Stegostoma tigrinum: one gene and its partner. The protein of the gene in region 1 purifies or fractionates together with the protein of each later gene. This does not show direct contact. Links are inferred from orthologs where the notes say so. Each region holds a gene or a part of one and is shown in the gene's direction. Other genes may lie near its edges.

Region 1 (7,721 bases):
GCCATCTCTCTCTGATGAGAGTGTAGGCCTATAACCCTGTCTAGTTCTGGTGACGACTATGACTAAGTCCTCAGTACTCTAGAATCTGCTGCATAGTCAATCTCACTTACTGACTGAAGTGCACAGCATGTGGTGACACTGCTGTTCAGCTTTGCTAGATTGCACCATCCTTAATCGTGGCCCAAACAATAGAAAGATTAGTTTAATATATGTATGGCATACGCTACAGCAATTCTGCTGGTAACAAGGACTTCATTGTATCATCTCACTGTGTTGATGTGGGCTCCAGTTGGCAATCATTAGTACAGAAAAGGGTCATTTTCATTCACCAAAAGCAGACTATTCATTTTGTGGAACGGTGTCCCAGAATATAGGAGGCATAGAAAATTCCCCTGACGCAGACTATTATACACTGTAATCAATACTAATCATTTTCTTGCTCAGGTAAATTTCAAGATTCCAATATTCAGCTCTTTGGCCAAGTGGACATCTTCTGCAGCACCCTAGAGATACAGAAAGTCTGGCTTGAATTGTAACTGCTCTTGCCTGCCTGAAAGGAAACTAGATGGTGTTGTGGAGATAGGAATGGGAAAAGTTAGGGAGGAGGCCAGCTCAAGAAGATGACATCACCTGTTCTGACAATGTTTCCTTCCCCTAACATTAACTTGCTCTTTTGAGCCAGACACTCACAGGAAGGAAGCTAAGTCCTACTTCAGAAAGCAAATCAGGACTAATGGTGCCAATTTGTACTCAATTTGCAATGTCAGTTGAATGATGTAAGGTAGAACATTGGCCAGAGGAGGCTCAGAAATAAGTTTAAAAGTCTTGTTTTGGAATCCCTTGTGGGTCAGGAAGGTGAGACCGCTCCACTGGGCTTCACACTGTTTGCATTTTAAACAGATCCTTCGCCCATGCAGAATAAAATTAGCAATTCCAGTCTTGCAGGTTCTTCAGCTGGTATAGGACACCACATTTCACCCTCTTTAGTGCAAATTGGCACCGATGCTGGATCCTTTCCAACTGGCAAGTTATGAAGACGTTAGTCTGCCCAAATTGGTATCTGTTTTATGTATCTCTGTGCAGTCAATCAGTCTATTCCCTTTGCTGGCAGAATCCATTGTTTCTGTTAAAGAAATAAATAGACTAAGCATGAACTGTTGTTTTGAAAATGAATGACAATTGTTAACAAAACTAAAAATGATGTTGGTAACCAGTTCAATATCTTTTTTATCAGGATCATTTATGAGGGCAGTATTGGAGAATGCATTATACTCCAGTAGTTTTCTTGTTCATTGTCACGATTAGTAAGATTCCAATGTAAGTCATTTTGCTAAACCTGATGCCAAACTTTCCCTTTTCTGATTTTTCAAGCTAAGGCAATCTTTTACTAGAACAAGTGCTCTGGGCCACTGTTGCATATTACCTTGTTGTCTAGAACAATAAAAAGCTGGGCCACTGCAATTAGAGAGGCATATTTGATTTACACAAATTATATGAAAACTAGAATTGTAATCTGGTTTACATTATATTATGCACTTTAGCACATTTCTACGGTTCCAGGTAGATATTACAATAACCAATAAAAACACCATCTTCACTACTAGAACAATATATTGCATATGTGAGAAAACCGAAATAAAAGCAGAGATTGTTGGAAATACTCAGCAGCATGATAGCACCTGTGCTGGGAGAAACAGGGTGAACATTTCAGAACTTCCATCAGAATAGATCACAAAAATACTACATTTATTGTTATAGTCTTAAATCATAAATACAACATCCTGTGCATTTTCACTATTAGCTGCTGGGCCTCTAATCTCTGGAATTCATTTAAACTCTCCTCACTAAAAATGCTCCTTAAAAAATGACCTCTTTCACCAAATTTTGGTCATCTGTCCTGTGATCCCCTTATGTGGCTTAGCGTCAAACTTTGATACACATTGTTCCTGTGAACCCACTTGAAATGTTGTACTACCTTAACATGCTACTTTTTTTTAACAAAATACTCAGCCGTAAAATGTGACCATAGTTGGCTGGCCCAGCAATTATTGCTTACTCACATTTGTCCTTGAGAAAGTGGTAGTGAACTGGCTTCTTAAACCGCTACTGTCCATTTGCCGAAGGTTGAGTCACAGTTCTGTTGGGCAGAGAATTTCAAGATTTTGACCCAGCAACACTTAAGGAACAGCAAGTCAGACTGAGAGTGCATTGGTGAGAAACCAGCAGATGATGTTTCTATGTATTTGCTGCCCTTATCCTTTGAGGTGGTAGTGATCATGGGAAGGAACTGTCTTTAGAGCCTTGGTGAATTTCTGCAGTGGACCATCTAGATAGATACACACTGCTGACACTACTGATGTGGTGCCAATCAAGGAGGCTGCTTCATCCTGGGTAATGTTAAGTTTCTTGAACATTGTTGGAGCTGCACTCAACAGGGCACCTAGGGAGTAGTCCACCACATTTCTGACTTGTGCCTTGTAGGTTGTAGCCAAGCTCTAGAGAGTTAGCAGGTAAGTTTCTCAAAGGAGTCATAGTTTCTGACTTGCTCTTGTAGTCACAGTATTTATATGGCTAGTCCAATTCAGTTTTTTTTTCATTGGTAAGCCTCAGAATTTTGAAAGTAGGGATTCAGTGATGGAAATACCATTACTTGGTACTTCTGTCATGCAAATATATTTTCCTCTCATCAGCTCAAACGTGGGTATGTGTCAGGTCTTGCCTCATTTGGAGGTGGATTGCTTTGGTGTGTGAGTTGTGAATGGTGCTAAAAATTGTACAATCATCAGCAAAAATCCTCACTCTGACTTTATGATAAAGGGGAGGTTGTTGCTAAAGCATCTGAAGGTGATTGTGTCTGGGATGTTCTATTGAAGATCTCTTGCAGAAATGTCCTGGAGCTGAGATGACCAACTGCCGACAATCACAACCATCTTCCTATGTGCCAGGCATGATTCTAAACAGCTGAGAGTTTTCCCCTGATTCCCATTGTCTCCAGTTTTGCTAGAGCTCCTTAATGTCACACTTGATATCCAGGTCTGCCACTCTCATTTCATCTCTGAAATTCAGTTTGTTTATCCATGTTTGAACCAAGGCTGTAATGAGGTCAGGAACTGAGCAGTTCAGGTGGAACTTAAACTGTTAGTTGGTGAGCAGGGATAATGGGAACTGCAGATGCTGGAGATTCCAAGATAATAAAATGTGAGGCTGGATGAACACAGCAGGCCAAGCAGCATCTCACCAAGATAATAAAATGTGAGGCTGGATGAACACAGCAGGCCAAGCAGCATCTCTGCTGAGCAGGTTTTTGTTAAGCAAATGCTGGTTGATAGCACTATTGTTGACAGCTTCCATCACTTTACAGATGGACGAGAGTAGACTGATAGGTCATAACTGGATGGAGTGAATTTGTCCCGCTTTTCATTTACAGGATATACCTGGGCAATTTTACATATTGATCATTAGATGCCAGTAATGCAGCTGTACTGGAACTGCTTGGCCAGGGGCATGGAGGTTCTGGAGCACAATTCTGGTTGTCAGGGCCAAAAGCCTTTGCAGTATCCAGTACCTCCAGACAGTTCCTGTCATTAGGTAGAATGAAGCAAACTACCTGATAACTAGAATCAATACTGGGGAGGTTGAGGTGAATCATCAACCGGGCATTTCATGCTGAAGATTATATGAATGCTTCAGCCTTATTTTTCTGCACTGAAATACTGTTGAATTTAAATTCAGTTCTGGGTGACAGAAAAATAACAGTATTTGTAGTAGAAAAGCAACTTTACCCAACGTGAAACTCTAAAAATAAACGTTCATGCAGTCCACACGCTAATTGTTGCAAATATCAGGCCAAATATGTAACTATTTTGCGACATTAAGTTTATTTTTTGACGCACGTCCTTTGAAAATATTTCAAAAGCTGTACGAACATGAAGTACGGTCTTTCAAGAAATCTAAATGCCGGTCTGTGCCTGATCTGTTTAAAAGATAGGCAAAAGGTAAATTTTGTTTCCACTTTTCTACTAGGAGCAGCTGTTTATTCGTATTTGTTCATTCATATAATTTGTCGAAAGAAGTACCCCGTCAGTCTTAGCGCAGTTAAACGGCCAGATTCACAAAACTAATTTAAAAAGAAATCCACTGGTTTCTGCAGACAATGAATCTTCACTTGAACAAGAGGGTCCACTGAGAAAGAAAACATAGTGCTCACGAGGCTGTTTAATGAACCAAAAAAGATTGACTAACATTTTAGCTTTACTAAGACACAAAGGTGAGAAACTTCAGTAAACAACTTTTCGCTGGTTACTCCTCCTGAATAAACCCCACCTCAAACCTCCCAGCCCTCCGTTTTAAACCGAAACACAAAGAACAACGGATGCTGGAACAGAAGGAGAAATTGCTGGAGAAACTCCGCAGGTCTGGGCAGTATCCGTGGGAAGGAGGCAGAGTTAACACTGAAGAATTCTGAGGACGAGTTACCGGACTCGAAACGTTAACTCTGCGTTCTCCCCACAGATTCTGCTGGACCTACTAAGTTTCTTCAGCAATTTCTACTCTGAAACAGATAATTTATGTCACCCCACCAAACCAAACCAACTCAGCACCCATCTTGTGCAATGGACTAGACTAACACAGCGGAAAGCTGCTTTTCACCTCCATGATCCGCTATCTGGGCGGCGCTGCAATGCTTTATCGCCATTGGCCATGTCAAGCAAAACCAAGCGGGCCCCTTTCAGACGAGCTGCGCACGCGTCTGCTCCACTCTATGAGTGATTTCTTTTCCCCTCAGTTCAATCGAGCTGCCGAGGCTCATAGGAGGTTGCTGCAGGAGCTTTAGGTAAGAGGCGCTACAATCTCCGCAGAAGAGAGCGTTTTTTTGGGGGGTGGGTGTCTGCATGCAATTGTATTGACTGTGTTCCTTGAAATACATACTCATGGTTTGCATCGCATTAGGCAGGGAGAATTTGAGGAGAAGCGTGCGAGGATAAAGTCCGCGGAGGAACATTCAGCCGGAGCAGTAGGAGAAGGAGAAGGTTTCTTTGCCGGGAGAGTTTGTGGAGCCGCGAGGCTGCAGGCTCGGCCGGGACAAGCCGGGTTTCGCCGATAGAACGCGGCGTGATCCCCGGGACGTTCGAGAGGCTCGGCGCGAGCGCCCGGTGCTGTGAGCCATCGCCCAGCGGCGATAGGATGGAGGTCGCCTGGCTCCTGACCCTCACACTCTGCACTCTGGCAAACGGAGAGCTGGTAAGTGCTAACACCGTCTTCGGATTACCCCTGTGCTCCGTGCTGACGGTGGTGGGGTCTCCCTGATGAGCAGGATCGCTCCGGATCGGCGGATACTCTGTGTGAGAGAGAGAGAGAGAGAGAGAAGTGCGTACCTTAACTCGCCGGTGCTACCACACATTTTGTAACTTGTTTGAAGACTCTACCGTTTTACCGCCGCTCATATGTGTCTAATCTTTACTGAGAGAAACGGGCTTCAAAGTTCCGATTTTCGGGGTTGGGGGGGTGTGTAAGAGATAACAAACATCTAGCGTGAAAAGAAATGATACGTGGGATTGAATATAAACCAAGCCATGTACATTCTGTGTCTGGATTGTGCTTCGGTTCCCACTTTAATCTCATTACAGTCAGAATTTTTGACCCCCCTTCCCAGCCTCCAATTTGTTTTTCGCTTGTGGTCCGATTGGGTGAATTCGAACCAAATAAAGCGATCGATATAGTTCGCTATGGCGAGTCTTTTTTAAAACACAACGCTATACACGTGAGGGAACGTTACATCCTTTAATCCCTGCTAGAATGGGAGGGTAGAAGTAGTTTCGCCTGAGGCTCTGGAAAGCAGATTGCAGTAAATTAATTCCCCCTTGTCGTTGACTGAAAGGGATCAAGGCACAAGCTAACCTGTTAAGAGGAGCGAAGCGTATAATCTCCGGAAGTAGAGAGCTGTGAAAGGAAAAAGGACAACTTGGGCACAAAGTTCCTGTGCGTGTGAAAGTGCAGGTGGGCTCTGGTGTTGGAATTGCTGTGCGAAGCCTTTAGATGGCGTCTGAGATTTCTTAGCGCCTACTTTTTATTTGAAGTACAGGACTATCGGAATGTACAACACAAACTTGCTGCAACCAAGTTGTTGCGTCAATAATTTTCTGCATCATGTAGGATATTGTTCAGTTATGCGTTAGGCTCTCTCTGCATGATTAATCGCTGTTTTGAACAGAGGAAAATTAACATGGCAGGAATTGACTAAGAATATAACGATCAAACGAAATGTGTACACAGTTCAAATTTGAAATTTAAGCTGATATCATTTCTGTTCTGCATTGAGTATCGTCTGCACTAAGAAAAAACATAATATCTGACACAGATGCTCTCGCAATGAGAACCGTTTTTGAGCATGAGTAAGAATTTAACTATGCATAGCTCATCGAAGACTAGACCTGTCTTAGTGTGAATATTTGTCAGCCGCTGTGGCGGCTTCTAAATATAATTTGTGCAGCAAGCTAGTCCAGTAACTGCACAATACGAAAGACACTGAGTAACCCGTTAGTCCTTTTATTATACATTATTTCAATTTTCTCCACTTCATGAAATTGATTTCCGTGGATCTTTTATCTCTGGGCACTGTGCTGAGCTATTGTAGCATTATTATCCGTTCAATTTTATATAACTTACGAGAGAGCATATTATGAACTACTTTGAAAGTATTTCATTAAAAACTGAAGTCACTTGAGCAAGAGTGGGCCATCTAGCCTCTTCAGCCTATTCCCTGTGATGAATACATTGCTGTGCCCGGTAATTTTTTTCTTTTTGAAAACTGAATTTCTAAAACATGGCTTGTAACAAAATTCCTGTTTTTTTTTGAAAAAAGATCTTTCCAAAAGATTCTAGAAAACAACAGTGCAGCTCCGGTCTAACCCACCTTTGCAAACCTTCTTTGAATAAGTACCACCACATGGTAATTTTCACTGAGAAATTGCACAAGAATTTCCAATTAAAATTTCTCTACTTGCTGGAAAAATTACTCGCACATTTTGTCGTTTTGTAAGATGAATATTCTTAACAAATACAAAAGTTTAATAATAGCTTTAAACTTTTCTTCAAATGAAGAAAATGTATTTATGTTCTGACTGATAGATATATTTTCCACTGGAACTTTGCAGTAAAATTTTAATATAAAACAGAAATAAATTCTAAATTAAGTTCTAGTAAATGTGAACGATCACTAGAAATTGATCAAGTTACAAATCGGACTGAACCTGTCTTGAGTACTGTTGGCATTCTAGCTGACATAAAATGCAGCAATGTTATAGTAAAGTTTTGACAAATATTAATAAAATTTCTTATACAGACCAAATTTTCTGTATCATTCCTTGTTTGCATTACAAATGTCCTTAGAATATCCCCTGTTTGTATAAGTGGAAGATCTTGAACCAGATTATAGTAGTCTGACATCTTGAGCAATTAGCTCTGAAATGAGAGAGAATGAATGATGAATCTTTGGAATTTTTGGCCCTGAGAGCCAAATATGGTCGAGACTTGAGGTTTGATAGATTTCTACATATTTAAAAACATTAATAGATACAGATATAGAGCAGGAAAATAGTTTTGAAGTAGATGATCTGCTAATACCTTACCGAGGGCTGAATGGCCTACTTATCCTCTTATTTTTGATGGTCTATACTTTAACGGAGTATTTCAAGCTTACAGCTGATGTGGACGTTGTGACT
Region 2 (7,633 bases), on another chromosome or scaffold:
CTGTAAACACAGATTCTTTGTTGCAGGCAAGTGGCTCTGGTTTAGTTTAAGATTATGTTTGGTATGGACTGGTTGGGCTGAAGGGTCTGTCTCCATGCTGTATGACTATGTTTGGAAAATCTTTAATTGGATACTCAAGGATATGAGGATATGATTTAATCTCTAGTCATAACACCACAAACACTCTTAATGAAAAGAGTTCTCAATTGGTGGCTTGTTGTTAAAGACAAGTAGCTAAATGTAAACAGTGACACTCATGAAAAGTAGAAAGGTCTCAGCACACCTAAAAACTTGCATTTTGTGACTGTTAATGGTACATTACACCAACAATAATTTGTGTAACTCATTTAAAAATAAAAGCACCAGGAGAATTATAACAGGTCACAAAATGTTTAGTCAAAAAGGCAGATTTTCAGGAGTGACTCAAAGCAAGGAAGTGAGGCAATGCAATGGAAAGGTTTATCATTGGCCTGCTAAATTTGAGGGCTTGAGCAGCTGAAGGCCTGACCACCAGTGGTAGAATCATTAAAACCAAGGATGGCCAAGAGGCCAAGTTTGAAGCAGTACAGAGAACTTGAAGATCTATAAAACAGGATGATGACAGAGAGACAGGAAATTGAGTTTGCAATGCGGAATCAGGAACTCAAATCCCAGAAAAGTTCCACAATACAAGCGCAGATCCCATGTTTCCTTTCGATGTAATTAAAAGATGCTGCTGGAAGTGGAAAAACAGGGACAGTGAGGGAGCAGACGAAGGAACTGATCAGTGTATGTAGGTGCTAGTCAGCCCCAGAGAGGTGTTTCCAATTGCGGGGAGGTATATTTGAACCCCACAATAAAACCAACAGCTTTGCCCTGAAATATGTTAGGCCTTGTTGGGAAAAGAAAATGATATTTTGAGAACAGACAGGCCCCTTAATAAGTTTGTTTATACATATGTAAGTATAAGCTCCACTTAGAATAGAACATGAAACAATTCAGTCAGGAACTTTTACTGCAATTTTCCTACCATGTTGTAGCCTGGAGCAATGGATAGCGATTATAAGAGGTTCCAAAGTTCCTTCTATGGCTCACAAGGACACTATTCCACTCTAACCACCTCCTATAGGCACACGTTGGCAAGATTTGCGGGTAGATCACTGACTTGTTTTCCCCAGGTTACTAAGTGGAACTCGAGTAAGGAGCTTCCACCTCAGAGATTGGGTGACCAGTCCCTTGGACGAAAAGATCTCGCAGGAACATAAACAAAAACAAATTTGCTGCAAAAGCTCAGCAGGTCTGGCAGCATCTGTAGAGGAGGAAAAGGAGTTAACGTTTCGGGTCAGGTGACCCTTCCTCAGAACTGATGGTGGCTGGGAAAATGCCAGTTTATATGCAGAAAATGGGGAGGTGAGTGGGGTAGGGAGTAAACGATAGGATAGAGCCCAAAGAGAGAGAAAGAGAGTTGGACAGACAAAGGAGTTGCTAACGATCAGGCTGAGAGGGTGGATAGTTGTTATTGGGGACTGTTAGTGATAAACAACAGGGGGCGTGTAGTGGCAGGTTGTGTGGTAACAAGGACTGGTGTGTGGGGTAGGGGACTGGGACGTGGGAGAGTTTAGGCCCTAAAACTATTGAATTCAATATTGAGTCCTGAGGGCTGTAGGGTCCCCAAGCAGAAAATGAGGTGTTGTTCCTCCAGTTCCTCCAGCTTGCACTGGGCTTCACTGGAACACTGTAACAAGCCAGAGACAGAGATGTTGGCCAGGGAACAGGTTGGTGCATTGAAGTGGCAGGCAACAGGTAGTTGAGGGTCTTTTTTGGAGCAGAACATAGATGTTCTGCGAAGCAGTCACCAGGTCTACGCTTCGTTTCCCCAATGTCGAGGAGACCACATTGTGAGCAGCGAATGCAGTAGACTAACTTCTGAGAATTGCAGGCGAAGTGTTGCTTCACCTGGGAGGTATGTTTGGGCCCTTGGATAATGAAGGAACTTAAGGAGTGTTAATCAGCAGTGCATGTGTGACCTGGCACCAAAATTAAAACCTGTGAGGATCCTTTGAGAACTTCTGCAATTTTCATTTTGAAAACCAACCCACCACTGGGTTCTGGCCCAGGGGATCTCAGCAAATACAGAAACTGAGATGAGAAACACTCCCTGCTGGAACGATTGAGAAATCATTTCATACCATGCCTGATTCACCACAACCTGTGCAATTCCTGTTACACTGAGTATAATGAAGGCAATTCAACCATCGCTGGCAATTATCTTCATAAACTGTACAGGACAACCCTCTGAACTCGTGGTCAATCTTGGGAGATTGCAGGAGGGTACTGAATGGTGTAAAGTAGATCTGACACAGATAGGTATAAATCTTATGGAGTTAGGTGTACAATAAATAATCTCCCAGAGTTGGGTTTGCAATATCTCAAACCGGTGCTGGGTGTGCAATGAACCCTCTCCCAGTGCTGGGTGTGTAATGAACCCTCCCCCCAGTGCTGGGTGTGAAATGTATCCCCCCCCAGTGCTGGGTGTGTAATGTACTCTCCCCCCCCCAGTGCTGGGTGTGTAACGTACCCTCGCCCCAGAGCTGGTTCTGTAATATAGAACATAGAACATTACAGCACAGTACAGGCCCTTCGGCCCTCGATGTTGTGCTGACCTGTCATACCAATCTCAAGCCCATCTAACCTACACTATTCCATGTACGTCCATATGCTTATCCAATGAAGACTTAAATGTACCTAAAGTTGGCGAATCTACAACCATTGCAGGCAAAGCGTTCCATTCCCTTACTACTCTCTGAGTAAAGAAACTACCTCTGACATCTGTCCTATATCTTTCACCCCTCAACTTAAAGCTATGCCCCCTCGTGCTCGCTGTCACCATGCTAGGAAAAAGGCTCTCCCTATCCACCCTATCTAACCCTCTGATTATTTTATATGTTTCAATTAAGTCACCTCTCAACCTTCTTCTCTCTAATGAAAACAGCCTCAAGTCCCTCAGCCTTTCCTCGTAAGACCTTCCCTCCATACCTGGCAACATCCTAGTAAATCTCCCCTGCACCCTTTCCAAAGCTTCCACATTCTTCTTATAATGCGGTGACAAGAACTGTACACAATACTCCAAGTGCGGCTGCACCAGAGTTTTGTACAGCTTCACCATAACCTCTTGGTTCCGGAACTCAATCCCTCTATTAATAAAAGCTAAAACACTGTATGCCTTCTTAACAGCCCTGTCAACCTGGGTGGCAACTTTCAAGGATCTGTGTACATGGACACCGAGATCTCTCTGCTCATCTACACTACTAAGAATCTTACCATTAGCCCAGTACTTTGCCTTCCGGTTACTCCTACCAAAGTGCATCACCTCACACTTGTAATATACCCTCCCCCCAGAGCTGGGTGTGTAATGTACCCTCCCCCCCAGTGCTGGGTGTGTAATGTACCCTCCCCCCTGTGCTGGGTGTGTAATGTACACTCCCCCCAGAGCTGGGTGTGTAATGCACACTCCCCCCTCCCTGTGCTGGATGTGTAATGTATCCTCCCCCAAGAGCTGGGTGTGTAATGTACACTCCCACAGTGCTGGGTGTGTAATGCACCCTCCCACCCTGTGCTGGGTGTGTAATGTATCCTCACCCCCAGAGCTGGGTGTGCAATGTACACTACCCCCAGTGCTGCGTGTGTAATATACCCTCGCCCCAGAGCTGGGTGTGTAATGTACACTCCCCCCAGTGCTGGGTGTATAATGTACCCTCCCCCCAGAGCTGGGTCTGTAATATACCCTCCCCCCAGGGCTGGGTGTGTAATATACCCTCCCCCCAGAGCTGGGTGTGTAATGTACACTCCCCCCAGTGCTGGGTGTATAATGTACCCTCCCCCCAGAGCTGGGTCTGTAACATACCCTCCCCCCAGGGCTGGGTCTCTAATATACCCTCCCCCCAGGGCTGGGTGTGCAATGTACCCTCCCTCCCTGTGCTGGGTGTGTAATGTACACTCCCTCCCTGTGCTGGGTGTGTAATGTACACTCCCTCCCTGTGCTGGGTGTGCAATGCACCCTCCCTCCCTGTGCTGGGTGTGTAATGTACACTCCCTCCCTGTGCTGGGTGTGTAATGTACCCTCCCTCCCTGTGCTGGGTGTGTAATGTACACTCCCCCCAGGGCTGAGTGTGTAATGTACACTCCCTCCCTGTGCTGGGTGTGTAATGTACACTCCCTCCCTGTGCTGGGTGTGCAATGCACCCTCCCTCCCTGTGCTGGGTGTGTAATGTACACTCCCTCCCTGTGCTGGGTGTGTAATGTACACTCCCCCCAGGGCTGGGTGTGTAATGTACCCTCCCTCCCTGTGCTGGGTGTGTAATGTACCCTCCCTCCCTGTGCTGGGTGTGTAATGTACACTCCCCCCAGGGCTGGGTGTGTAATGTACCCTCCCTCCCTGTGCTGGGTGTGTAATGTACACTCCCTCCCTGTGCTGGGTGTGCAATGTACCCTCCCTCCCTGTGCTGGGTGTGTAATGTACCCTCCCTCCCTGTGCTGGGTGTGTAATGTACACTCCCCCCTGTGCTGGGTGTGTAATGTACACTCCCTCCCTGTGCTGGGTGTGTAATGTACCCTCCCTCCCTGTGCTGGGTGTGTAATGTACACTCCCTCCCTGTGCTGGGTGTGTAATGTACACTCCCCCTCTTCCGTTCCTGCCTAATCGCTTGAAGTCAGTGTGTATCCAGCGCTGCGCTGCTCCGCTTCTTTCCTGGTCTCTCTGACTAGTGTTGTTTGCCTGGCTCCCAGCTCGCTCTGCCTGAATCTCACTCTCTGACTGACTCAAACACCATCCAGCAACTGATCGGACAGCAGCACATGTGGCTCCCTGAAGAGACTGAAGCCCATGGTTCGCGGGGCAGTGGTCCATCTGGAGCATCGTACTTCTCCTCCAAGCAGAGCAGAGAACTCAGCGAGTGGGGCTCCAGTCCCTTTCATCGCCTCTTGTAAATAACACAGTCTTGGGACTCATTTAACCGGACAGGTGCCGCAGGAATTAGACCACACGTCCACCAAGTGAAAGCATAACAAAGTAAGTATTGTATTTGGCTGTACTGGCAGATTTGCAGGGGATGCCGGCTCGAAGCGTTGTCTGTAGAATCACAGGTTAAAGCGGCGATCTAAAATACCTTTTAACGTTGCCTCATTTTTTTGGCTACATTTTGGTTAAGTTTTTTTAAGTGCCTGGTCACCAATGCTAGGCTGTTGACGAAGTGTTCCAAATTTGGGCTGTATTCAGTTTGGAAGTATGTGTGCATCTGTGTGTGTGTGTGTGTGTGTGTGTATGTCTGTGTCTGTCTGTCTGTGTTATGTGTACGTATGTGTATCTGTCTGTGTCTGTCTGTCTGTGTGTATGTGTACCTGTGTGCGTGTGTGTGTGTGTGTATGTGTATCTGTCTGTGTCTGTCTGCCTGTGTGTATGTGTACCTGTGTGTGTGTGTATGTGTATCTGTCTGTGTCTGTCTGCCTGTGTGTATGTGTACCTGTGTGTGTGTGTATGTGTATCTGTCTGTGTCTGTCTGCCTGTGTGTATGTGTACCTGTGTGTGTGTGTGTGTGTGTGTGTGTCTGTGTGTGTGGAATTGCCAGCACCCTGGATAATCAAGCACTTGGAGTTTCTTATACACCGAAAACAAAGTTGGGACGCACAACAATGCCGGGTGCTGTCATTCTGTTTGGAAACATGTGTTAAGTGGAAAGATAATGCCGCTGGAAGAAAATTGTGACCTGGGTCTATAGCTTAAACTGTTGTTGCAGGGTGATTGTGGACTGATCCACATGGCACAGCAATTTAAACAAAAAATCCTTTTATTTTCAAAATATTCTCAGAGATGAATCTTGAAAAAAAGAACTTCCACTAGAAGCAATCCAGATTTTGCTTTTAGTCAGAGCTGTGTTGGGGTTTAAATCTGTTACATGTATGAAGGGGACTCGATTGTACAACAGCACCCTCGTCTGCATGAAGTGGTTACTAGCAGAGTTACAGTGGACAGCACTTTACTGGAGGTGCTATGGAAAATGCACATAGTTTGTCAGTTTTAGTGTTTTTGCACGTGTGTGTTTGTGTGAGGGGCTGGATTTTTGGACATATATACCCTGTAACATTTTCCACAACAAGAGTCAAGTTTGTGCTTTGTGCTATAAAGCTTTGACCGTCGCGCCTATTTAGTTTGGATAGGCAGCATGCATGAAAAAACAGAGCTTAATTCTTTACTATTACATAATACTGCGGAGATTTCGATGTGTCGGCGCCAGATTTCACATCTTCGCCCCCACTCCCCTCCAAAAATCTAGATACACTTCTGAAGGTACCTTTTTTTTTGTTACTTTCCCATCTTTGTAATTTGTCAACGTTCGAACGAGTTGTTGAAGCTGCACTTTATAACGCACTCTTGAGTTCGCAAATGCTCCGTTCTGGACACAATTATCCAGCTACGTAACTGAAGTACAGCCTTTTCAAGCAGATTGTCATCAGCGAGAGTGTGCTAGTGTGATCCCAGGTCCAAAGATACTTCATTCTCCCGGGATAATCATTCCAGTCCGCGTTACCCTCCACATTTAGCTTCCTTTCTTAAAAAAACACAAAACTCGTAAAAGATTTCTTCCTCCCTCATTCGTATCACGTTATGTATTCCAGTGTTTCCTATTCCCTTTCAATAACCCGCTGACTGGTTGATAATACAAATATAACTCAACTGAGCTCCTTATTCTTCATAGAAACATAGAAGATAGGACCAGGAGGAGGCCATTCGGCCCTTCCAGCCTGCTCCATCATTCATCACCACCATGGCTGATCGTCCGACTCAATAGCCTAATGCTTTCTCCTTTGATCCCATTCGCCCTAATGCTATATCCAGCCTAACGCTCCCACAGCGCAGGAAAATAATAGTAGTTCAGAGTATCCAGCTTTAAATTTGGAGGGACTGTTTTGATTTGGAGAATATTGCATTTGTAATTTGAGTCATTGAGTAAGAAAGGCTAAATATTTGCACATCTGACCTAAACTATTCCAGCGGCAAAGATCCTGATCAGTAAAATGTGTTTTAGTTTGGGTCTTAACAAAAATGAAGGATTTATCAACGTAACTGGGAGAAGATGTACTGAAGATGAGTCTGCCTATCTGCTGTCATTCTGGTTTGTCACTTCGGCTTGGAAGCTGACTTGAGAAGTCAAGTGGAGGAAATATGGTATAAAATGGGCAGGTTTGCTCTCAAATCCTCAGTACTGATTCTTCAGGGGCCCATGTTTGGGTACAAGTTCATAGGAAGCTTGAATTAAACATTTCTCTGGGCTTCCATGTGTCACTTCCACGGGTCCCGGACTCGAATTAATGACCAGCTACAGAATAAATCTCCTTCTGGTACTGTGACAATTTGCTGGAAGTCACAAATATTTTAATCCCAGTAGTGCTTGCGATTGCACTGCGCTGCCCTCTTCGTAAAAAGCTACACTGTAAATCCGGAGTTTGCAATATTATAATCGGATTGCCCGTGAACATCCCTTGCACCTTTATTTCGTTCTCAACCAGTGCAGAGGGCCACTGCTGAAAGATCGTTCAGTTTTTCTCAAGTTGACTCGTATAAATGTCTTTGTTTTATGTATCAAGGAAGCTCGCAAAT

Evidence for each region. Proteins that work in one complex are often made in the same cells at the same time.
Region 2: the proteins of sdc2 (region 1) and caM kinase-like vesicle-associated protein purify together in Homo sapiens (affinity purification with mass spectrometry; 3 studies listed by BioGRID and IntAct, counting the BioPlex papers as one, with this or other methods). This does not show direct contact. The link is inferred for Stegostoma tigrinum from reciprocal best matches to the Homo sapiens genes SDC2 and CAMKV.

Annotation. Positions count from the first base shown.
Region 1 is NC_081358.1:93,238,646-93,246,366, forward strand, and holds the start of sdc2 (syndecan-2), read left to right. Parts: upstream 1-4,704; 5' UTR 4,705-4,834; intron 4,835-4,950; 5' UTR 4,951-5,184; coding exon 5,185-5,241; intron 5,242-7,721. UniProt on the Homo sapiens protein: Cell surface proteoglycan which regulates dendritic arbor morphogenesis.
Region 2 is NC_081364.1:13,128,068-13,135,700, reverse strand, and holds the start of caM kinase-like vesicle-associated protein, read left to right. Parts: upstream 1-4,623; 5' UTR 4,624-5,047; intron 5,048-6,226; exon of another isoform or gene 6,227-6,322; intron 6,323-7,633. UniProt on the Homo sapiens protein: Does not appear to have detectable kinase activity.